Linked DNA regions of Pelodiscus sinensis. The protein of the gene in region 1 purifies or fractionates together with the protein of each later gene. This does not show direct contact. Links are inferred from orthologs where the notes say so. Each region holds a gene or a part of one and is shown in the gene's direction. Other genes may lie near its edges.

Region 1 (8,072 bases):
CAAGTTAGCAGAACTGGGGCCTAAGCATAATATTTTAGAAAGCACCTAAGTGGCTCTGGGCACATCTACTCTCTGATTCAAAATCCCATGGCACTGTGTCTGAGTGTAGCTCACTTTGACTCAGGTTGATGGGGCTTGGCTCCAGGACTATAAAACTGCAGTATAGACTAGGGATGTTAAATATCGGTTAATTGAAGAGTCAAGTAACCTCGTGAATTCTTATTGGTTAGTCAACTACTCTATAGTACCCGGGGGCAGGGTTGGCAGCCAGTGCACTCCGGCCCCACTACCGAGGAGCACCCTGCCATTCCTTGCTGCTGCCTCTGTATCATCTTCCCTCTCTTTCCCAGTGCAGATAGGCAGAAGGAGCAGGGAGCTCTGAGCCTTGGTGGTGCGCCCAGCCTGATTGAAAGGCTTGATGGATCAGATCTGGATCCCCATTCTGTCTGACGTGGCACAGAGACTTGATACTGCTCCCAAGTGAGTGACTTCAGTGCTGGGCTCTAGGGTACCGAGCTGGGTCTTTCTCAATCTCTGCTATTGAAGCTGCTCCCCTTTGTATAATATTTATTAGAGAAGAAACTGCAGTCTGGGTTTCCCAGTGGGACATAGCATCTCTCTCTCTCTCTCTTTAGTTTAATTCAAGGAATATTTAGAAAGTGCCTACAAAGCAGAACAGCTTCAACAGGTTTTTCATGAAAAAGGGCTGACTAACTTAGACACCTACTTCCAGAGGGTGTTCATGCCTGTGAATCCCAACTGGAGGGAGGCACCTCTCTGCAGCCCAGAGCTAGGCACTTAACACCATTGGCTGTGTGGGGGAAGGTGGTTTTCCTTATCCTCAGCATTTCCTGCTTAGGTGGCTCTGTGCTCAGTGTGCTGGCTTTTGTGAATTCCATTCGCAGGTGCCTAATTCTTCCTATGCATTATGATAGCATTGTACTGGCTGCCTGGGTACCACATGCAGGGCCATGGATTCCACTGTTCTTTATTACCATAGTGCTTAGGAGCCCTAGTCTTGGACCAGGACTCCATTGTGGTAGGTGTTATCCATACACAGAATAAAAACACTGCTCCAAAGGGCTTGCAATCCAGGCAGCCTAAACGTTAGGTGTTATACTTAACATATTAAGTCCCCAGTGGGTGAGACTTGGCTCCGGAGTCTCTAAGTCCCTTTTGAAAGTAGGATTTGGTTTCTATGTCACTTAAGGTACAAATTTCAAAAGCACCTAAGTCCACAAAGTGCTGGACCTGGTGTGTGCAGGAAATGGAAGGAAGCCAAGCTGCCCCATCCCCCTTCCTGACCACAGGCTCCTGGGCCATGGCTGTAGCAATGCTCCACTGGGATGGCTGCAGGACGCCCCTGCAGGAAAGTGCCCACTGTGTAGGAAACAGATGGCCTTGCTCAAAACAAATTGCCATAGTCTGAACTGAGACCTTCAGTGTCAGCTCAGAGTTTAGGGCTAGGCTTCATGCACAGTGTCTCCTGGGATGAGTGCTCCTGTAACTTTTCTTCACAGCTGGGCCAGCTGTGAGTGTGGCACATCCACCACCTCCCACACCATCTTCTCAGCTCTGTGGGATCCACTGCAAAAAGTGCACCAGGGAAGACCTGCTGCAGGACCAGATAGCCTGCCTCCAGTCCCTCATATGGGGGTTCAATGAGGAGTGCTGGGAGCAGACTGCCAACTGTGAGGCAAGCCGGGTTGACCAGAAGCAGCTGATGCACCAGTATGAGGCCATGTCTTCCTCCATGACCTCTGTCATGAAGCGCATGACTGTGCATGGAGTGGGTCACCAGTGAGCTCCTTGCTCCCCTCTCCACCCAACTCTCCTGCCCCCATCCCCGCCTCTTGTCTTCTCCTCCTAGCCCTCCGAAGGGCCACTGAACACATGGTGATGGGACTTCTTGGGCAGCGCAAGAGAGACAGCAGTCCCAACACCATCCCTGAGCCACCTTTAGCAGGAATCACTCCCTACCAAGCAGACCAATATTGTCTCGTTCCTTATACTCCCATATTTGTCTATATCAAACTGCTTGGGGAAGGGATTAGCTTCTGGTTCTGAGTTTGTACAGCTCTTCCCACAATGGCTTCTTGATCCAAGACTAGGGCTCCTAGACACTAGGACAGAGATGGTCAATCTAGGCTAGCAAGTGGGCCACATAAATGGCCCTCTTTTATCTGAGTGGGCTGCAAGAATGTTGTAAGCAAGCTACCCTCCTGGAAACAGGGTAGTTTTGCTCACTGCACTTGCATGCCTAGAATTTGCAAAAGCTTTCGTGGGCAAAGACCCACTTCGTCAGATGCATGTAGTGGAAATTTCCAGAGGCAGGTATAAATATGCAGGCCAGAATCAGGCTGGAGATGACGATATGGATCCAATCACCTGCCTGATTCTGGCCTGCATATTTATACCTGACTCTGGAAATTTCCACTATATGCATCTGATAAAGTGGGTCTTTGCCCACAAAAGCTTATGCTCCTACACTTCAGTTAGTCTATAAGGTGCTACAGGAGTCCTCACCGCTTTTGCAGATTCAGACTAACACAGCTACCCCTCTGATACTAGAATTTGCAGTGTCCCAAATGAACCATAGCAGTGCTTTGATTGGATATAGAGAGTGCATGACTCTCACTGTTAATGTTGTGTACAGTCAGTGGGCACCTCACTTCATGTGCCCTTGCTTTATATGTCATTTTAGTAATGTTACTTTAGTAAAACTGGCAGGAAAAAATGATGTGGATGGAACCCAGCAAAATCTGACAACCCTGTGCATGGGTAATGGTAAAAAAAAAATGTTTTGCAGGACACATACACAACCCTGATGGGCCACATGCAGTCCTAAGGCCATCACTGCACTAAGGTAAGAGACTTAATAATCACTATCAGGTCACCTACATTTTATGGAAAATTTTTGGTGACAAATTCTTTTTAATATGTGGTTACAATCAAATAAGTTCTGGCTTGTTTCCCTCTCCTCTCAAAGCAGAAGAGTCTAATTACACCGAGGTTAATTTTAAGCAATGAATCTTTGTGAATAGTAGTACAAAAGATTGCAAGTAACTCCTCTTTCTTCACTCCTCTTTAATCTAAACCCAGTTAAGTAGAACTGCGCATAGTTTCCTAATGCATAGGGATGAAATCCTGGTTCCATTGAAGTAAATGATGAAATTCCCATTGACTTCAATGGGTCAGGATTACACCCTAGATGTCTGTAGAATAACTAACAGAGTCCTTTCAATATTGCACATCTCAAGAGTTCTGATTGTGCACTACTTAATCACATATAACTCTGTTGTCTGTATAAGGTTTGGGATATCTAAACTTACTAGAACTATAGTCCCCAGTCTTGGAAGAGATGACTAAACCATACTGTCTTCTGAGATTAACTGAGTTTCGCATCATGTTACTATGTGAAACCTCCAGAAAACATCTTAAAACCAAGATCCTGTTTGTTCTTTGTAGACATAAAGTATAATTTTACTGTTTTTTAAAAGCACTGTGTGGTTCCATGTTTAAGTAAAACAAATGTGTGTTTTTTCTGATTGCCTGTCCTGAAAATTTAGCCCTCATTCAGCAAATCAATTTGGATGCTTTCTGTCTTATGCGCCACCATCCAGTATAAAGATTCTGCAAGCGAAGTAGAACAATTACTGACAAATGTGCAAGTTCATTTTCTTCTAATTCTGCTACCAGTGACATTTATAACACCCATTCAATTCAGTGGGGCTGTAACTGCAATTCTACTGATGTTATAAACGCTAGGATATACTCCAGTTTACTTGTCATACTGCATTGACTCTGCTCAGCTAACAAGAATAAAATGATCAAGGCTATCCTTTTGAAGAACATCTAGATTTGAGGCAGCAAAGTGTGTATGGTGACACTGTGAAAACACCAGGTAGGAGACTGGTTCATTTCTCCATGTACAGCTGTAAAAGGGGATATGTTTCTAACCAACTAAGTTCCTTGGGGTTCAGGATCCTCTATTTCTCAGTCACCATGATTGAGAACAGCCTTAGGGTGCTGGAAGACTCTGCTCAGTCAACAGAAAAGTATGGTTGATGAGCCACAAGGGGGGAATTTGTGGGGATGTAGAATCCAGAAAAGACCCCTGGGGCCAGAAAAAGAGAATTTCTATCACTGGTTCTTTCCATCCCCACACCTCTAGGATCCAAGGTAGTGGACACCCATTAAAATCAGTAGGAGTCTGCCCACACTGATCCAGTGTTTGTGTGGCTTTGCAGTAAGTAGATGCTCCTGTGCATTATTCTTTCTGCTTACCAGCCTGCTGCACTTGTTTCCTCCTGGTATAGTCCAAGTCCTCTGCAGAGAGTTGCCAATGCCCCTGCCAGCAGATAACACCCACAGAGATGCAGGAAGTAGCCAGATACACTCAGGTCAGGTGTCCCAGCTTTTCTTTCAAGGACAAGGGCTGGGAAATTGTGTAAAATTAAAGAGTGAGATTCTGCTACACTCAGGTGCCTCCAGGAGCCAGGCCCTGGGCAGAGGCCAGTAGCGTGGGGCAGCACGCCCCTACCTGGACAAAAGAAGCCCTGGACATTTTAAAGCACCCTTTGGAAAATGCTAGGGGCGCCTGCGGGCGGTGGGGGGTTTACAACCTTCCCCCGCCAAGGGCAAGGATGGGCGATCAAAGTGGGCCCCTTTACCGCTAGGCTGGGCTTCCTCTCTCCCGATGGCCGGGGGCAGCAGTACCCCTTCCCCGGGGCGGGCTGGGAGGTCTGGGCTACGCAGGGTCCCCGACACGGCTGCGGGGCCGTCCGCTCTGCTTCCTTCAGAGCCCATAGGCGAGCGCAGTGTAAACAGCAGCACATGGGCCCCCTCCCTTCCCCTGGGCCTCCTTCCCGGGCTCGGCCCCACCACCCTCCCTCCGCCCCTGGGCATGTGGCAGGAGGCGCAGCCCCACACCCGCTGGCTGGGCTGGGGGAGGGCCGGGGCCCAGAGGCAGAGCGAGCGGCAATGCCCTGCGCGGCCATAGCGGGGAGACAGCGCGGCCCTTCCCCCGCCGCCCGGGCGTGAGCAGCCGCCGCCGCCGCGCTGCGCGCAGGAGGAGACGCGGAACAGGTGGCCAGAGGCAGCAGCGAGCGCTGGCACCGCCCCGGCGGCGGCCGAGCATGTGAGCGGGAAGCCCGCAGCCCGGGACTCGGCCGGTCCGCTGCAGCAGCTGCCGCCTTCCCTCGGCGCGGGCTCCTGCCCGGGGCTGGCGGCTGGCCCGGGGCGCAGAGCCAGGCGCGCCCGGAGCTGGGGGCCGAGCGCGGGCGGGGAGCGTGTGGGGGCCGCAGGCAGCCGGGCGGCCGGGGCAGGATGAAAGTCACCGTGTGCTTCGGGCGGACCCGGGTGGTCGTGCCCTGCGGGGACGGCAACATGAAAGTTTTCAGCCTCATCCAGCAAGCGGTGACCAGGTACAAGAAGGCGATCGCCAAGGTGAGGGTGCGCGCCCGGGGCAGCGAGCGGGGGACGGCGCAGGAAGAGGGCGCCTGGGATCAATATGGCGCTTCCTGGAAAGGGGGAGGGAGGGGATGAAAGGGGAAAAGTGCAGGCTGCTCGGCTGGGGAGAGACGTGGGCACGGGCTGGAGGGGCCCGGCCTCCGCAGCCCCCCTCCCCGAGGGCGAGAGTTGGTGGGTGCGAGATCCAGAGAAGGAAGAAGCGCGGGGAGTTTGGGCCAGAGGCGCTGCTGCTCCTGGGTGCAGCGATCTAGTTTTCCTGACAGTGAAGTTTAAAGCGCTGCTGGGCTGCCCGGCCCGGCCCTGGGGGCAGGGAGCGTGTGTCTGTGTGAAAGGAGTTGCTAACTGAACATGGCTTCTTTGTAACCCAGCTGGGGAGCTGAGATTTACCCTTTAGCGAGATACAGTCGCAGACGTGTGTTTTGGGGCCTGAGCTCTTTGTTACTATTTTGTAACGAGCAAACGAGTCTCTTGTAGGTGTGATTGTAAAAGGGCTGGGGGATCTCTCCCTCTAGCTCTTTCTCTCTCTGTGGTGTTCCTATTAGTTGCGTACACCCCAAGTGCCCTGGGTCCATACAAACTGGGGTATTGGCTGTCACTTGGAGGGTTACATCTTGTTACTTTAATTGTCGCGGAAAAGACTGTGTAACAGCGTGCTATAGCTTTTGTTACATCTTCAAAGCTTGGTGTTTGAAACAGATAAAGATATAAATCCCCAAAAGTAGGTCTCCTTTACAATGATTTCTCTTTGCTGGGCAGTAGTTACTGCAAAGAATTCAAATCCAGCCCCAGGCTTCCCAGCTGCTCCAGGCCCAGGAAGAAAAAAAACAGTGAAATGTGGGGAGTTGACAAAACAGCAGGCATTTAATGTTTATATCTGAAAAAGTTATATGTCTCTTGGACTGCCAGAAAAGGGGAAAGGTACTACAGAGAGGATTGTCTGGAGAATTTTTTTTTTTAAAGGATGGGTTAAAAGAGTGTTCTGTTGGATTGTTTGCTAGGACAATCACTTCATGACAAGTCAGTGCACTCTTCTCTGTGTCAGAAATTCTCATGTCAACACAGAGAATCATTTACTTTTCCAGTTACTCTGAAAGAAGTTTACAGTGTAGGGAGCCTTTGTGCTGGAAATATGTTAATTGCATTTATCTTTGGAAACGTAATTGATTTCTTTCTTTTTGGTGATGTTAATTATAATTACAGCTTGTCTGAATAATAATAGAGAGGTAGCTGTGTTAGTCTGGTCTTGCTAAAACAAAAGAAAAAAAACATGTAGCACTTTAAAGACTAACAAGATAGTTTAATACATGATGAGCTTTCGTGGGCCAGACCCACTTTCTCAGATCATATTCTGGAAGAGAATTGGCATGACCATGGTATATATGGTAATGCCAGTTCTCTTCCAGAATATGATCTGAGGAAGTGAGTCTGGCCCACGAAAGCTCGTGACATATTAAACCAACTTGTTAGTCATTAAAGTGCTACATAGTTTTTCCTTTTGTTTTAACTTGTCTGAACGCTTTCTGCGTAGAGTTGGTGCATGACTACATGTACATAGTTATTTACAAATAATTGTATCTTCCATTCTGTAGTCACTTAGAATATTTTATTTTTTTGCTGCAAAACATGTTTTTAAATTTCTGACTAACATTTGCCAGGCCAATCTGAAAAAGACCAGTAGATTAATGAAATTCCATCTGGTGCTTCCTACTCCCCCAGCTTTGCTCAAGTAGTTGGGTATGACTTATTTTTTTACCTTTATGATTTTTGTTTTGTTTCAGTTGAGAATTTTTTACTTCAGGACTCTCTGAAATTGCACCAAGCAATTAGAAGTTTGAAGTCTGCTTGCCTTAGCATTAGTAGGTTGGAAATACTGTGTCAGGTTGTGAGTGGGGTGGTGTTTTTTTCCAATGAGAACCTGTGGCTGGTGTCCAGGGAAAGGGAAACCAAAGTTTCCATTTTTTTGTTTCCTTTTTTTCCAGAATTTTTTGAGACAATCACTACATCTTAGTATATTGTGTAACATCACACAACATTGACTAGTGAAATGTTTCACTGAAAGAAGTCAAGATGCCAACTGCAGTTATTTTGACAGCTTCATTAAAGTGCATAACATTTCATATGCACAGAAATGACCATGTCCCAAAGTACTCTTACAACTGAGAGTGCTACTTACTTAAACGGGACTATACTTGACAGTAAATATTTGTATGATTGGTCCCTAAATCTTACAATATTAATATAATCTAGTGATGATAAATCTATGGTTTCCAGGCTGTAGTCTCTGAATATCTGTCTCGTCATAGTGCACTGGATCACATTCCTGTTTCCAGCTGTTAAATTGCATTAAAGACAGCTACAAACACATTCCTAATATATTTCCATGTGAACAAATTGCAGTATGTGTAACAGTGAAGTTATGTGAGAATGAGTGGAGAGGATGGTTGCTTGTATGCTTGCAAATGGCGGGGAGGGGTCCATGACAAAAGCTCTGTTATGTAGCCACATTATGAAAAAAAAAATTAGAAACCTCTGAAATGTGATATATTGGCAGGTGAACGTCGTAAAGATAATTTTCAAGATTACAGTTTTGCTTGCTCCTA
Region 2 (8,197 bases), on another chromosome or scaffold:
CTTCATTTGCATTGGCTTTTGAGCAAGAGGGGTGCAGTGTAGACGTAGCTAGTGTGATCAGAATCAAGATCTATATATGGTATTTAAACAATGCCAGTCACTATAGTGACTAAGAATTGAGTGTATATAAACCAAACCTTCCAGTTCCTTCAGTCTGAATTCTATCCCTCAGTGCAACCTTTCAGCTACTGAGTGTCTGAAATAACACATTATTTAAAAAGTCGTAACTCCTAGGGTGAGAGCGCTTTATTATGGAGGAATACTTGATCGTACTAGAGATCTGAGCTTGCTGGTAAATGTGGATAAGAGGGAGTTAAAAAACAACAGAAAATTAACAATCCTTTCTTCCGGCTGTAAACTGGTTCTGAACATTCCTTTCATTGGGGGCCGTGAATAGTTTGAGTAAGTCTGAATCACAGGTTTTATGGAACTTGTGACTAAAATAGCTCTGTAATCTTGTGCTATGCCTGGCATGGAAGTCCTGCCCCCTCTCCTTACCTTTATCTCAAATCAAACTGTTCTGTCACATTCCTTCCTTGCACAACATCAGCTCCTTGTGATGCAAGCTACCTAGTGATTAATACCCTTTTATGAGGTTGGTTTCAATGATCTGAGATTAAATCACCCTCGCTGTCTCAGAAAGCGTGAAGCCACACCCCACTGTGAGGAACTCTAATAACTCCAGGAATGCAAGAGAAGAAAAAAATATTCTTAAAAGAGACCAAATAAATACATAGCAATAACATCATCTGCATGGATGTGCTGGGAGCTTCCTGGTGGCTTTTTCACATCAGAAAAAGGCCAGTTAGTTCAATTGCTCTGCAAATCCTTGGGAAGGCTGGGTTCTTCTCTGGTAAGCCACCTCCATTCTCCTCTTCATGGTCTCTCAAGGTATGTCTACACTACCACCCTAGTTCGAACTAGGGTGGTTAATGTAGTCAACCGAAGTTGCAAATGCGGCACAGAGTAGGTAGTTCGAATTAGGCTTTCTAATTCAAAATACCGTTACTACTCGTGGAAAGCCTAATTTGAACTACCTACTCCGTGCCGCGTGTAGCCGCGGGCACAGAGTCCGAACTACCGGGGATTTAAAATGGCGGCGCCCGGCAAGATGCAAATGAAGCCCGGGTGAAGCAAGTCACCAGGTCCTGATGAAATGCATCCCAGGATACTCAAGGAGCTGATAGAGGAGGTATCTGAGCCTTTAGCTATGATTTTTGAAAAATCATGGCAGACAGGGGAGATTCCAGAAGACTGGAAAAGGGCAAATATTGTGCCCATCTATAAAAAGGGGAATAAGAACAACCCAGGAAACTACAGACCGGTCAGTTTAACGTCTGTCCCAGGGAAGATAATGGAGCAGGTAATTAAGGAAATCCTATGCAAACACTTGGAAGGTAATAAAGTGATAGGGAATAGCCAGCATGGGTTTGTGAAGAACAAGTCATGCCAAACTAATCTGATAGCTTTCTTTGATAGGATAACGAGCCTTGTGGATAAGGGAGAAGCGGTGGATGTCATATACCTAGACTTTAGTAAGGCATTTGATACGGTCTCGCGTGATATTCTTATTGATAAACTAGGCAAATATAACTTAGATAGGGCCACGATAAGGTGGGTGCATAATTGGCTGGATAACCGTAGTCAGAGAGTTGTTGTTAACGGTTCTAAATCCTGCTGGAAAGGGATAACAAGTGGAGTTCCTCAAGGGTCTGTTTTGGGACCCGTACTGTTCAATATCTTCATCAATGATGTAGATATTGGGATAGAGAGTACGCTTATTAAGTTTGCAGATGATACCAAACTGGGTGGGGTTGCGACTTCTTTGGAGGATAGGGACATAATTCAAAATGACCTTAGCAAGTTAGAGAAATGGTCAGAGGTAAACAGGATGAGGTTTAATAAAGAGAAATGCAAAGTGCTCCACTTAGGAAGGAACAATCAGTTCCATACATACAAGATGGGAAGCGACTGTCTAGGAAGGAGCATGGCAGAAAGGGATCTAGGGGTCATAGTGGACCACAAGTTGAATATGAGTCAACAGTGTGATGCTGTTGCCAAAAAAGCAAATATGATTCTAGGTTGTATCAACAGGTGTGTTGTAAGCAAAACTCGTGAAGTCATTCTGCCGCTCTACTCTGCACTAGTTAGGCCTCAGCTGGAGTACTTTGTCCAGTTCTGGGCGCCACATTTCAAGAAAGATGTGGAGAAATTGGAAAGGGTACAGAGAAGAGCGACAAAAATGATTAAAGGTTTAGAGAACATGACCTATGAAGCCAGGCTTCATGAACTGGGCTTGTTTAGTTTGGAAAAAAGAAGATTAAGGGGGGACATGATAGCGGCTTTCAAATATCTAAAAGGGTGTCACAAGGAGGAAGGAGAAAATGTGTTCCTCTTGGTTACTGAGGTCAGGACAAGGAGTAATGGGCTTAACGTGCAGCAGGGGAGGTTTAGATTGGACATTAGGAAAAAATTCCTAACTGTCAGGGTGGTCAAATATTGGAATAAATTGCCAGGGGAGGTGGTGGAATGTCCCTCTCTGGAGATATTTAAGAACAGGTTAGATAGACATCTGTCAGGGATGGTGTAGATGGAGCTTGGTCCTGCCTTGAGGGCAGGGGGCTGGACTCGATGACCTCTCGAGGTCCCTTCCAGTCCTATTATTCTATGATTCTATGATATTTAAATCCCGGGGTTCATTTGCAACTTCGGTTGACTACATTAGCCACCATAGTTCGAACTAGGGTGGTAGTGTAGACGTACCCTCAGAGCTGAGCAAGTTACTTGAAGAAAATGGTAGGCATGGAAAGAAGAAAACAGGTGGAGCTGCTGCTCTTTAGTTTTTTAGTAATAGAAAAACAATAGAATTAGAGGCCTGATTCCACTCTTGCTCACATAGTCATAATTCCACTGACTTCTATTTGCATCAGTGTGAGGGAAGAATCAGGTTCTAGATGTAGTTTAGGAGTAGCATGTCATCCAAGCATTCCTTGGCCTTTTGCTATTGTAAAGAAACCATAGATGAAAGAAGGCATAAGGCTTGAACTGGACACCTACTTATTTACAGACACTAGTCAAACACTAGACAATAATCTCTGCATTATTCAGAACCAGCATGAAAGCTGCAGTTTCTTTGTCTTGGGTAGGGCTGGGCCTTATACTCGAATCTACATGCAAAATTGTACTGGTTTAACCAAATATATGATTTTGAACTGATTTAGTTAAACTGACACAACTTTATGTATGGATGTTCATTTATTAGTTGAATCCTGATTTATATCTAAATATAAAATACAAATCAGGAGTAAACCAATATATAGCCAATACACTTATAAAATTCATTCACTTTTCAGAGATATTACTGGTTTTAGTGGAATTCTCCGTTTTAAGTATAGAGAATATTGTTGGATCTGGTAATATCTCTAAAATAAAACACTTTTGAAGTATGCCAGTGTATTGCACCAGTTTAACTTTTAAACCAATTTAAATCAGACTTGTGTAACTATTTTGGGTATGCAAAACGTTACAGATTGCAGACCCTGAGATATTGGAGAGATGGATCAGTCTGTTAGTTGGTTCCTTTTCCTTTTTTGGTCCTGCAGCTGACATCAATTCCAAGCATGTAGCTCTGTTCTAAAAAATGGCTATAATCTAGTGTCATGCTTCAGGGTTTCATTGGTTGCCAGAAGGGGATACTGAAGGTTTTTTCCTTCCCATGTACAACTGTAATCTGGGACAAGATATTGGTTGATTGGGTGGCTCAGGCCAAGTCTATACTAGGGGAGAAAGTTAACCTAAGGTATACAACTCCAGCTATGAGAATGTAGCGGGAGTCAATATATCTAAGGTCAAATTTCTGTGGTGTCCCCACTGCAGGAGGTTGAAGGGAGAAACTCTCCTGCTGATTTCCCTTACAGCTTGTGATCCGCTGGAGTTCCGGGATCAACAGGGAAGCTATCAGCTGTCAATTTAGCAGGTTCTTACTAGACCCACTAAATTAAACCTGGAAAGATTGATCTCCAGAGTGTTGATCTCAGGGTAAGTGGAAACAAGTCCTCAGTGATCTGAGATGGTACCAATAATTGTGTTTAGATGCCTGATTGGTGTCTTGTTCACATTTTCAGGCGCTAAGTGATCCTTAGAACTGGGGTTTGGAAAGAATTTACCTGCCAAGTCAGATTGGCAGAGACCTTGGGAGTTTTTCAACTTCCTCAATAGCATTGGGCCTGGATCACTTCCTAGGATCACCTGGGCATGTGCCACCCAATCAATTCCCTCAATTGAAGGGACTTGGGGCATTAGCAGAAGCCTGTTCTCTGCCCGTGAAACAAGACAGTCTATTTTCTGAGGACTGAAATGCTTTTTAATGGAAATCATTGGACTCAAAAGAGCGATTTGAGTGAAAACGGATGGCTCGTGAAGTGCAGGACAGACTAGATAATTTAGTGGTCCTTTCTAAACTTCACAAAACCACGTGCAGGAATCCCTAAAAGTAAAGAGCCTTGGAAAATTGATTATCTTTATTTGTAGATAAAACCAGTTGCACCCATACTCCCTCACAACACCCTGAGGTGTATTCTGTCTCCATTCACACATTCCCAGCATCGCAGGTGTACTTTGACCCTCTGTAATCCCACCATAGATGATGCACTCGTCTGTGGTGCTCATAATCCCGGAATTGTGAGGACGAGTTCTTTAATCCCACTATTGGGCGGTGCCTTGTATCTACCATAGTCCCAGCACCCGGGGTTACTGTGCCCCCCTGCAATGCCAGCACTGGGGGTTACTGGGCCTCTGCAATGCCACGATTGGCTGCGTGCTGTGCCCCTCCCCCGCAGTTCTGAGCGTGCGTATTTATCTACAATAACCTCTGCCCAGTGACTGACACCTCCCGCCCCACTCCCATGCATAGCATTCACAGCCACGCATGCGCCTTCCACTTAGGAACGGGGAGAGTGTTAGGGGAGAAATGCGTTGGACGCATGCGCACTGGCTGCAGGTGCGCCTAGGGCTTTCTTTCCTTCTCCCTCGGCGGGCGACGGGTACGCACGCGCGCTCGTGGCAGGTGCACCGAAACTCCTCCGCCCTGCTGTGAGTGCCCGGCGCGCATGCGCTGTCTCTCCTCCCCCCCCCATACCCAATCCCTTCACGGAGCGGCAGGTGTCAGGCGCAGCTAGGCGCTCCCGGGGCGGCTCCTCCTTCTGGGTGTGTGAGGAGGCGGCTTCGCGGCGGTGGCGGCAGGTTGTGTCTGGGCGCAGAGCTGCCCGGCTTCTCCCCCCACAGCGCGCCCGGGGACACACGGGGCGAAGGCGACTCCCGGCCGTGTGGCGGCATGAACCGGACCTACCGCAGCGCGGGGGGCAGCCGGGCCCTCGGCACCATGGAGGTGAAGAGCAAGGTGGGTCGCGGCCGCAGAGGGCGGAGCGAGCCTTTTGGAAAGGGGGGGGGGGCAGGGCTCGCTCCGGTGGGTCTGGGTGGGCTCGCTCCGCGAGCGGCTGCCGGGGGCAGAGCGAGCTGCGGCGGGGGTGGAGGGGAAGAAGCGGGGCCGCGATCCGCGAGGCGCCGCCGGGGGCAGAGCGAGCTTGAAGCGGGGGGAGAGGGGCTGGATCCGTGACTCCTTGAGAGGCCGCTGGAGGCAGGGCGAGCCTCATTGGAGGTGGGGGCCCAGCAGGAGGGGAGCACTGAGGCATCTGAACCCCCTGGCGGAACACATCCAGGGCTGCCTGTGAGTTGCCCGGCACGGGGCCAGGAGTGGTTCTGCATTGTAGGGTGAGGGCGAACTGGGAGAGCTGCTGACTCACCTGCAGAAGGTAGCAGTAAGAGGGAGATTCCTGGGGCTGGGGGAGTGTGTCTACAAGGGAGATCCGGGTTGCCTAAGAGTAGAGGTGTTTTCAGGAGATCCAGAGCGGTTACCTTTACTCTGTCCTTCATGTCTTGTGCCACTGCCTTGATTATTATTCTAACAATTCTCACCATAGTGTTGAAGCTAGTAATAATTAATGCTTGACATCCTCCCTATAGTCTGTGTCCTCTCAGTATTAGCCTCCTTGTCAGATTGCATTTCATCATATTTTCCCCCATGTCTCCAACAATTGTGGTTGATTGTTCGCTGCAAAACTTGATATTCTTTAACCAAAGTTACAGCATGACTTTACTGATTGGGCGGGCACACTGCTTTCCATCAAGTTACTACACTGAAGTGTAAAACAAGACACAAAGTTCGCCCTGAAATTGACTATGGGCTAACAGAATACACAGGAAAACAAATGCAGACAATATAGGAATATTACTAGGAAAAAAGGGGTGCCTCAAAAAAATCAGTTTAGCTCTATCATGATTTGAAACATCCCTAACATTATGCTTTGACGACACTAGGGATGTAAAATCTCAGTTAATCTGTTGACCAGTTAAATGCTATGGGAGCAGGTGGGGGGAGGTATGGTCTGCAGGGGGTGAGCTGGAGCACCCCCTGCCTGGAACAGGCCCAGCAGGGCTGGAACAGTCCCTTGCCTGTGGGGGGTTATTCCAGCCCCACATTTAACCATTCACATCTCTGGACTAGTCTAGGATAAAAGTGTCTTTTTAGAAATATGTTAATTAAAATATTTTAATGATTTAAAACTCTAGTGTGAACAGAACAAAAATAATTTGCCCTGCTAAAGTGGTTTTTTTGGGGAAAAAAAGTCTTTTATCCTAGAATAGAGAATATTTTGATGTAATACAGTGGCTCTGGAATCTTGTTAGCTGGTCATATAACCCACAATTGTCAAGGTGTTGAACTGTGTCTAAACTGGGTGTTAAATGAGTGTTTCATATCATTTTAGTTAATTTGAATTAGAGAATGTGGATGAGGCAGTATCTTTTGGTGAGAGTCAAGCTTACACAGAGCTCTTCTATGACAGAAGTTGGTTCAGTAATAAATACTGTCTCATGCACCTTGTGTCTCTAATATCCTCTGACTAACATGACTATAATGCTGCACACATAAATTGAATTAGGCAACTTGGGAATTGTCTACAGAAGGATAGCTGGAAAAAGTAAATCCAAACTAAGGTGTGAATTTGAAGTTAAGACATCTAATCTCTGCGTAAGTCTTCTAGTACGTACTACGTGGGAAATTCCTTGGATGTTGCATATTTCAAATTCTTGGGACAACAGTTAATGAGCAGGTTTTATTTTTTTTAAAGCTTATGGCCAAATATATTAGTCATTAAGATGCCACAGGACTCCTTGTTTTTGCTGAAACAGACTAAAGAGGCTACCCCTCAGATAATAAACACAGTGCTCCTGACTGAAGGGAGTTCCTCCTGCAGGAATTCATTTACTTTTGTTATACACAGGTGTGACTGAAATCAGAATGAGTCATTTATTCTACCTTATTGTTCACTAATGTTAGTGTAGCTATAGTATCTATAGAACAGGGTTATTTGCAGAGACAGCTAACTAATCAATTAATGAGAAGGCAGATGGTGACTTGATGGCTATTGATGACTTATTACACCTACAAATTGTATACCCAGCCAGACTATGAAAAAACAGGGTAGTTTTATTGTTTGCTTTTTCTCCCCTGTGTCCCTTGAAGCTACCACCTTATTTGTTTCATGTAAGGTATTTAAATACATTAGCTATCACATTTTAAAAACATTTTTTCCTAATTATAGACTTTTTGGGGGGCAGAGACTGTATTCACTCATTACCTTTAAACAGGGCTTACCACAATGGGGCATGTTGCTGCTTTTGGTCTCTAGTACTGTTGTAATACAAATAGTATAATGTAGGAGTGAAAGATCTTGAAGATTGGGGAACTGAAGAAAGTACAGTCTGCTTTGGAAGAGGACTAGTGCAAAGTGTATTAGTGAATTGTTAAAACACAATTGTAGTGCTCACACAAGAGGAATGGAGCAATCTGGTACAGGTAGGTTCACATCCCAACTTGCCACAAACTAAATCCTCATGTAGACAGGTTCTTTGAGTTGTGTATATATACCAACATTTCCACTATCAGTAGAACTGAATGGTGGAGCATTTTGTCAGTAGTGCTGAACTGGCAGTGAAATAAAAACCTGAATCTTGTTAGTGTAAATAGGGCGGCTATGAAGCTGTTGAGGAATGGGTTTGTATCCCCTCTTTGCCTCTCCATTTTAGGCAGGAGCAGAAGTGACAGAAAATTAGGGTGGGAGGAGATATGAATTCTTCA
Region 3 (7,732 bases), on another chromosome or scaffold:
CTGGCCCAGTGTCCTGCTCACACTGTCATTGAATAAAAATTTGACGCCTCTCAAGCACACTCGCTATAAACTCCGCTCCAACCTATTCTAACCGCCCCAGCCTGGGGACAGAGCCTGGGCCACATCCTGGCTGGCTCTGACTTTCCCACAACAGTCTCCAACTTCTCCCACCAGCAACTTCAGTTTCCCATGCGCCCTTCCTGGCTCCTTATTCCTTAAGCTGGAGCAGCCCATCAGCTGCAGGCTGCTGGCCCCCGCTCACTGTGTCCCTTCTTCTCTGGGGCCGGGTGCTGCCTGTCTCGCTGCTAGCCTGGTTCCCACTGCTGGGCAGCCTGCCCCCCACGGTCCCCAGCTTGTCAGGTGGGGCTGAGCCAGCTCTGTGTTGGGCGGCACAGACTGCCATAATCTGTCAAGCGCCGCCCCGGCCGGGACGAAGTGAGGCCTCTGGCCTGCTGGGGCGTAGCCAGGCAGCTCGCATTGGCTTCAACGGATAAAACCCCGCCCGCCGCTCGCTGGTGCTGCCAAGAGAACTGGTCAGAAATTATGCAGTGCTCCAGCAGATATGGGGGAATGCGCAAAGCAGTAAGAACAGAAGCAAAAGGTTCTAACTGGAAAGAGCATTAGTGTGACCAGCTTCATTACTTACTGATCCTCACCGCTCTGATAGTTTCATACCAAAGATTGTTTAAAACAAACATGTCAGACTCCCTGACTTATCCGCTGCTTTTTCTTCCTTTTGATATTCTAAGCCCTGGCCCTCTTCCCCTTCTTTACTTAGTCAGACGGGCTACAATAGCTGCCTGAGGACACGTGGATGGAAAGGAGTCAGAGAAGTCATACCCACCGTCCTCCACCCCCTTCCCACAATAAGAATGGAGAAAGGTTCTCATCCCCCCCCCTTCCTCCTCTCCCACTTTTTAGGGAAGAGGATGGGGGTTGGCAATTGAGAAGTCTCACAGGAGGGAAAGGTTACGGAGGATTCTGAGTAACGATGAGACAGATCAGTACTGGGGTAGTGCTACGGGGGAGCTCTCTGCCTCTGGGCTACGCCTAGACTGGCATGATTTTCCGGAAATGCTTTTAATGGAAAAGGTTTCCGTTAAAAGCATTTTCGGAAAAATCGCGTCTAGATTGGCACGGACGCTTTTCCACAAAAGCACTTTTTGCAGAAAAGCGTCCGTGCCAATCTAGACGCGCTTTTCTGCAAAAAAGCCCCAATCGCCATTTTTGCAATCGGGGCTTTTTTGCGGAAAACGAATCTGAGCTGTCTACACTGGCCCTTTTGCGCAAAATGGGAGCAGCATAGTATTTCCGCAAGAAGCACTGACAATCTTACATGAGATCATCAGTACTTTTGCGGAAATTCAAGGTGCCAGTGTAGACAGCTGGCAAGTTTTTCTGGCAAAGCGGCTGATTTTCCGAAAAAACTGGCCAGTCTAGACACAGCTCTGGTGTTTAAAGAGCTGCTACCCTACAGATCAATACAACCCTCCTAGCTGTTCTTTTATTTGTCCCTGCTGGGAGGGAAAGTCCAAGAACCACTGAGGCGGGGTTAGACGGTGGGGGGGAGGGCTCTCTTAGCAGGAAGTCGCACTTTACACAGTCACCATGTGCTCTCGCATCTCCTTTTGCCCACCAACATAATGCAGCCACCCCTGGGGTACCCCAAGGCCACAGCTAACATGCACACACCGACGGCACACAAGAGCCGAGGCCAGGAGACCCTGTGTCCAGGCGCAGCTGTGTGGGGATGGGGAGCTAAGGGCCAATGCGCACTGCTGGAGACAGGGCGAACCGGGCTTTCAAGTCGCTTGATGCGGCAGCCGTCCCTGCCGTGTGCATTCACAGCAGAGCCACCGTCTGTCCCCACGCCCTGGGGCCGAGGTGTGTACCCCCCCATGCACAGCAGCAGCTGCCCCAGTCTGCTGCAGCTGCCAGGACTGGGTGGGGGGGATCCCCCCAGGGTGTTCTAGTCTGAGCCCTGCTGCGACTGGCAGCTGGAGAGAGGTGATAAAGTTCTCTGGAGGCTGCCCCGCGCAGTCACTTAGCAGCCGGGGCCCAGCACTGAGCTATCTGCCTCTGTGGTCTGGGCCACACAGGGCTGAGCCCTCTGGCCGTGGGGAACAAGGGCTCGGCACGGTGCAGCACGCCCCTGCCTTTCTGGGCCAGCTCCCTGAGGTGCAAGCTCCCTGCCCTGGGAGCCTCCAGCCTCAGCTCCCCTCCAGCCTAGCTCCCTTCCCCCCTCGCTGCAGGGAGGGGGAGGTTCTATGGAGCTGGCACCTTCCAGCCATGGCTGAGATGGTTACTGTGGCAGCTGGGCTCCCCCCCAGATACAATCGCAGGAAGGCAGAGCTGGTGAGGGGGGAGGAGAGGCCACAAGACATGTCTCCCCCCTCCAGCCACATGTGGGGGAAGTGTGGGGCAGAGTGAGAGCGGAGACTTGAAGGCTCTGTCCCTCATTGACGCTGAGGGCGGCTCAGGTCCCCAGCTCTGCTCTGGGATGTGGATCTCCAGTCCCTCCCGCCACAGGCAGGCTCCTGCCAGCTGCTGTCTGCTCCCCAGAGGTGGCTGCATGGCGGGAGCGGGCGAGATGATTCCCGTGTCCCCGGTGCTCTAGGCAGCACTTTATACCGCGTGGCAGGTGCCCTGCAATTGCCCAGCCCTTGTCCCCAAACACTCCCCCTCTCCCTTGCGGGGTCACAAGAGACTTGATTTCTTTTGTGCTGCCCGCAAGTGGTCCAGAGGGGCGAGGCGGGTGCCCTGGCTACAGGGATTGCAGTGGCACAGTGGGGCCCGCTCTGCCGGCCCTGGCTGCACCACACACCTGAAGGGCAACTGCCTGTAGGAGCCATTGGGGGAAGATGGGAGCTGGGAGCTGGGGGAGGGGCAGTGGGAGCTTGCGGCACCAGGAAAGGCTGTTCCAGCAGCCAGGAGGCCGTGGAGGCTCTGGGGGACAGATTCACCTCCCCTTCAGCATCTCCTGGGGCGGAGAACACGACCTGACTCTTCAGTGTTTGCCCCAATTAGCCCCCTACCAAAGGGCACCACAAATCCCTGGATTATCCAGCTCCACCAAACCTAAACCCAGCCCCTGCAGGCTCCACGGCCTCCCAAAGCATCTCTGGCTCCCAGCCTGGGGCTTGACTCTGGTTGCAGCCGAACGGTCCAGAAGGAACGGCTGTCAGGAGACAGAAAGCAGGTCACTAGACGATGCCTTTGGTCTGCGGGTCGGGACTGAGGGGCATCAGCAGATCTAGGTGCATGTTCAGCTCACCCAGGCCCTGCTGCCCTGTGCCCGGCCCAGCCACCTCTGTGTGTTCCTGGCTCCCTGCCGTGTGAAACCTGCTCTCCTGCTTCTCGGTGTCAGGCCCAAGGGCAGAGACAGGGAGTCACCGTCCATCATCCTGTGCCAGGGAGGTTGAGAGGGCTCTGAGCCCATTTGCACAAGGCCACACAGCAGCACAGACCAGTGCCCCACAGAAATGGGGCTGGAGCGGCAGCCTGCTCAGGCGGGACCGTGGAAGCCCCAACCCTCCATAATCCCCAGTCCCATACTCTGGGGCAAATGGATCCAGCAGCGTTTCGCCGCTTGCACCAGACCCCCGGCCAGGCACGGGGGGGGGGGGCTCCATTTCTAGGATGGAATGGGGAGCAGCAATCAGGCAGCGCCAAGCACCCGGGGCTCAACTGGAGACAGGGGGCCAGATCCCAGCTGGGTCAATGGGCCCTGGGTCCATGGGTGGCCATGGGGTGGGGCCAAATCCCCACAAGCAGGAAGGCTGCTGGACCCGCCGGCCATGGGGCTAAATCAAAGGGGAGGATGGCAGGACATTGATCCGTCCCGGCCCCCAGGCTCTGTCTGGCCAGAAGGTTCCACTCAGGCTCCGGGGCGGAGCCAGCGAAGCCCAACCTGAAACTTTCCCCTGCTGGGAGGGACGGAGCCGCCCGAGTCGCCTCTGGAGCTTGGTTTGCACCTGTCAGGCCCTAGCCCAGGCGGAGCCCAGCTACAGCTCCACCTGCTAAATCCAGCGGCTGTGCTCCTGCAGCCCCTGGGGTGTGACCCCCCCCATGGCCTGCCCCTACCCCCTGGGGTGTGACCCCCCCCCATGGCCTGCCCCTACCCCCTGGGGTGTGACCCCCCTCATGGCCTGCCCCTACCCCCTGGGGTGTGACCCCCCCATGGCCTGCCCCTACCCCCTGGGGTGTGACCCCCCCATGGCCTGCCCCTGCCCCCTGGGGTGTGACCCCCCCATGGCCTGCCCCTGCCCCCTGGGGTGTGACCCCCCCCATGGCCTGCCCCTACCCCCTGGGGTGTGACCCCCCCATGGCCTGCCCCTACCCCCTGGGGTGTGACCCCCCCCATGGCCTGCCCCTACCCCCTGGGGTGTGACCCCCCCCAATGGCCTGGCCCTGCCCTGCCCCTGCCCCCGATACACCTTGGAGCGCTCCCACCTCCGTTACCTAGGCGACGTTGTCAGCAACCTTCCATCCTGGCGCAGGGGACGTTCTGAGCCCGCCCCCTGGCCCGGCCTCCGCCAATCCCGCGGACGCCCCTAACCTGCTCGGGGGTGACGTCATGGCCGGTGAAACCCCCCGTGGCCGCAGGAGCCGCAGCCAGTGCGGGGCGGGCAGGCGGCGGGAGGAGCAGCCGGGCCCGGCCCGGCCCAGCCCGGCCCAGCATGGCCAAGCACCACCGCACCCCGGCGCGCAGCCCGGAGCCCGTCATCGAGGTCAAGAGCAAGGTGCGTCCGGCCGGCGGCCCCCCCCGCGGCCCCAGGTGCAGGCGGGGGGGGCCCGGTGCAGGGGGGGGGGGGCCCGGTGCAGGGAGGGGGGGCCCGGTGCAGGCGGGGGGGGGCCCGGTGCAGGGAGGGGCCCCAGGTGCAGGCGGGGGGGGCCCGGTGCAGGGAGGGGCCCCAGGTGCAGGCGGGGGGGGCCCAGGTGCAGGCGCGGGGGGGGGGGCCGGGGCCAGCCGGGCGCAGGGTCCAGCGGGGCATCCAGCGGAGCTGCAGCCCGGGGAGGTGGGGGGGCCCCGCGCCCCCGCCGGAGACGCGGGACGAGGCCGCCTGCCCGGTGCGGCGCCAAGCCCCCGCCGGAGCCGGCAGGTTATGCAACGATGCAGCCTGACAGCTCCGGTCCCCGCGTCCCGGCCGCAAACTTCGGCTCCCTGGCCGGGCCTGGCGGGCTCCTGGCATCCACCTGGCCGCTGTGCCCGCCGGAGCGTGGCTTGGGGCGGCAGGACCCTGCCTCGCCCCTGCCGGCTCCGCTTCCCTTTGTCTCTGGGCGGGGGGTGATTTCCCCCCGGGGAGCAGTAAGGGGGGGCGGCTGCTGGGCCGGGGACCCGTCTGGGTTGTCAGAGGAGAGCCGCTCCCCCAGGCCGCTCCCCCTGCACCGGGCCGGGCTAAGTGCCCGGGGTTCTGGCTGCCACGGCTGTGCCCACCTGCCCAGGGTTCCCCGCCTGCGCTGGGTAGACCTCAGTGTTGCCTCTGGCCCCGGGGCTCCTCCAGGCGGCAGCGTGGGCCCGAGGGCAGGACTCTGCAGACAGCCCTGCCGCTCAGCGGCTGTCCGGGCCGCTGCTCCTCGTGGAAAGGTGGCCGTGGACTTGCCTCCTGGCATCTGCATGTGCCAGGCTTACGGTTGGTCAGGGGGGTCTGGGTAAAGCCGGGGGGGCGCTGCCCCCACTGTTTATGCATCAGCACTGTGTGGTGGGGAGCAGGGCTGCAGGGAGGGAGGGGATGTAGTTTGTATCCCCACGTCTGTTTGCTCTGCCTTGCTGAGTAATTTTGGGCAAGGACATACACGGTGCCTAGACATGGCCGAGTGCGGGGGCAGTGCCCCCGGCATGAACTGGGCGCGTGTCCGCTCTGAGGCACCCAGTCCAGCCCCCCGATCTGCAGGGCCAGCTGGTCCCAGTGGCACCTCTCTTCCCACGGCTCTGCCACGCGAGGTCCAGGCAGATCCTTGGCCTCTAGACCCCAGTGCAGCCGTGAATTGGTGTGGGGAGGGAAGGAGCCAGGCGTTAGGTTTTTGGGGTGAAGCGCAGGGCTCCTAGGGGTGGGCCATGTGGCGTCTGTCTTCAGAGCCCCCAACTGATCCCTGTGGCCTGTACATGAAGCTTCCTCGTGGAGCCTCAGGAAGTGGCTAGGGAACGGGGGGACCCGGCTGGCCGCTCCTTGCTGAGTCTGGGGCCCCTGGCTCCCCCGCCAGCCAGTTGCTCTCACGTGGCCCTGACCCCGCCTCTTGCCCCCAGTTTGACGCCGAGTTCCGCCGCTTTGCCATGAAGCGCTCCAGCGCGGGCGGCTTCCAGGAGTTCTACCGGCTGATCCAGACAGTCCATCAGATCCCTTGCGTGGACGTGCTGCTGGGGTACACGGACGTTCACGGGGACTTGCTGCCCATCAACAACGACGACAACTACCACAAGGCCCTCTCCTCGGCCAACCCGCTGCTCCGCATCATCATCCAGAAGAGGGGTAAGTCCGGGCCGCCGAGGCCTCGGGTTCCTTGCCTGGCTGCGAGCTTCCGTCGAGTGGCAAAGGAAATGGGTTCACTTGCTCTGCCAGAGCACTCGATAGCAGCCCCGCTGCTGCCTGTTTGGTGAGAACTTTGCCGTGTATCCGTGCCCGGGCATTTCAGCGGAATGCTGCCGCCTCCGGCCCACCACCCGTGTTGGGATCTCTTGCTGCATGGGAAATCCCAGCCAGCTGGCCCTGTGTTCCACAGGTGAATCGTATCCTACTGGCTCTGATGGGAGCTGTTAGCTGGGACCGTTCCTTTGCTTGGATGGCTGGGCTTTTCCCTTGTCTTACATATAGGAGGGCCAGCCTAGAGTGGACCTCTTAAAAAAAATTAAGAGGGAGAATTTTCTGGATGCTCCACAACTCGGTTTATTCCTTGCGCCTGCCACTGCATTGCTGAAAGCCTGGCTCTGTGGGAAAGTTTGTGTAGGCCCCACTAAAATGTCAGTTTGTAGCCCTGTCCCCAGTGACGGCAGTAACTGTGTTCTATAAGCAGTGTTCTCGCTAATCTGTTCCATCCACTTTTTTTCATCCATGTGCAGAATAAATTTTATGTGCACTGAAGCATGTGTGGCTGTGCACCACCAGTAGAAACAAAAAAAGGGAGCTGTGCTAATCAGCTGGACAGCGTTTGAATTTCTCCAGAGCGAACGCACAAGTGCCCACTTTACAGGGAACACTGCCTGTAGGGAGTGTTTCAGGAACTACCCTGACCTCTGAGGCTGGGCTGTGAACCGGCCGCTTTGGCTCACGGGTTCTGCAAGCCAAAGTCGCTTACCCAGAGAGCACCCGTAATACCGGAGAGTTAAAATCCTGCAGCCTTAACACTCTGCTGTCCTGCATGGGGAATTCAATCCCAGAACACGTTGTTCCTGGAAAGCAGCTGGTCTCTTCCACAGGGACTAACTCGTCTCTCCCCCCTCACCGTTCTTGTTGTGATGTGATGGGCGGCAGTAGCAGTGCTCCGCCCCAGAGATGGGCACATGTTCCCCACGTAGGAACGGTCCATTTGTTTGTTCATTCGCAGGTCATAAGAGCAAAACTTGAAATATACACGCAAACCTATGGGGAACCTGCTGCCTGCCCAGAACGTCTCTCCTCTGCAAGGGTCTTGGAGTGTTTCCAGTGGTCTCCTGCTAGCAGGCACTGGGGAGGCTGGGGTCGGTGCTGGAATGCGGCTTCCTCTGGGGTGGAGCAAGCGCAGCTTACTGGTACAA

The links. The genes of interacting proteins can lie anywhere in the genome.
Region 2: the proteins of PARD3 (region 1) and PARD6B purify together in Homo sapiens (affinity purification with mass spectrometry; 5 studies listed by BioGRID and IntAct, counting the BioPlex papers as one, with this or other methods). This does not show direct contact. The link is inferred for Pelodiscus sinensis from reciprocal best matches to the Homo sapiens genes PARD3 and PARD6B.
Region 3: the proteins of PARD3 (region 1) and PARD6A purify together in Homo sapiens (co-immunoprecipitation; 7 studies listed by BioGRID and IntAct, with this or other methods). This does not show direct contact. The link is inferred for Pelodiscus sinensis from reciprocal best matches to the Homo sapiens genes PARD3 and PARD6A.

The regions. Positions count from the first base shown.
Region 1 is NC_134712.1:231,795,057-231,803,128, reverse strand, and holds the start of PARD3 (partitioning defective 3 homolog), read left to right. Parts: upstream 1-4,928; 5' UTR 4,929-5,328; coding exon 5,329-5,448; intron 5,449-8,072. UniProt on the Homo sapiens protein: Adapter protein involved in asymmetrical cell division and cell polarization processes. Seems to play a central role in the formation of epithelial tight junctions. Targets the phosphatase PTEN to cell junctions.
Region 2 is NC_134728.1:18,807,088-18,815,284, reverse strand, and holds the start of PARD6B (partitioning defective 6 homolog beta), read left to right. Parts: upstream 1-5,028; 5' UTR 5,029-5,332; coding exon 5,333-5,398; intron 5,399-8,197. UniProt on the Homo sapiens protein: Adapter protein involved in asymmetrical cell division and cell polarization processes. Probably involved in formation of epithelial tight junctions.
Region 3 is NC_134722.1:46,603,654-46,611,385, forward strand, and holds the start of PARD6A (partitioning defective 6 homolog alpha), read left to right. Parts: upstream 1-4,563; 5' UTR 4,564-4,679; coding exon 4,680-4,742; intron 4,743-6,247; coding exon 6,248-6,470; intron 6,471-7,732. UniProt on the Homo sapiens protein: Adapter protein involved in asymmetrical cell division and cell polarization processes. Probably involved in the formation of epithelial tight junctions.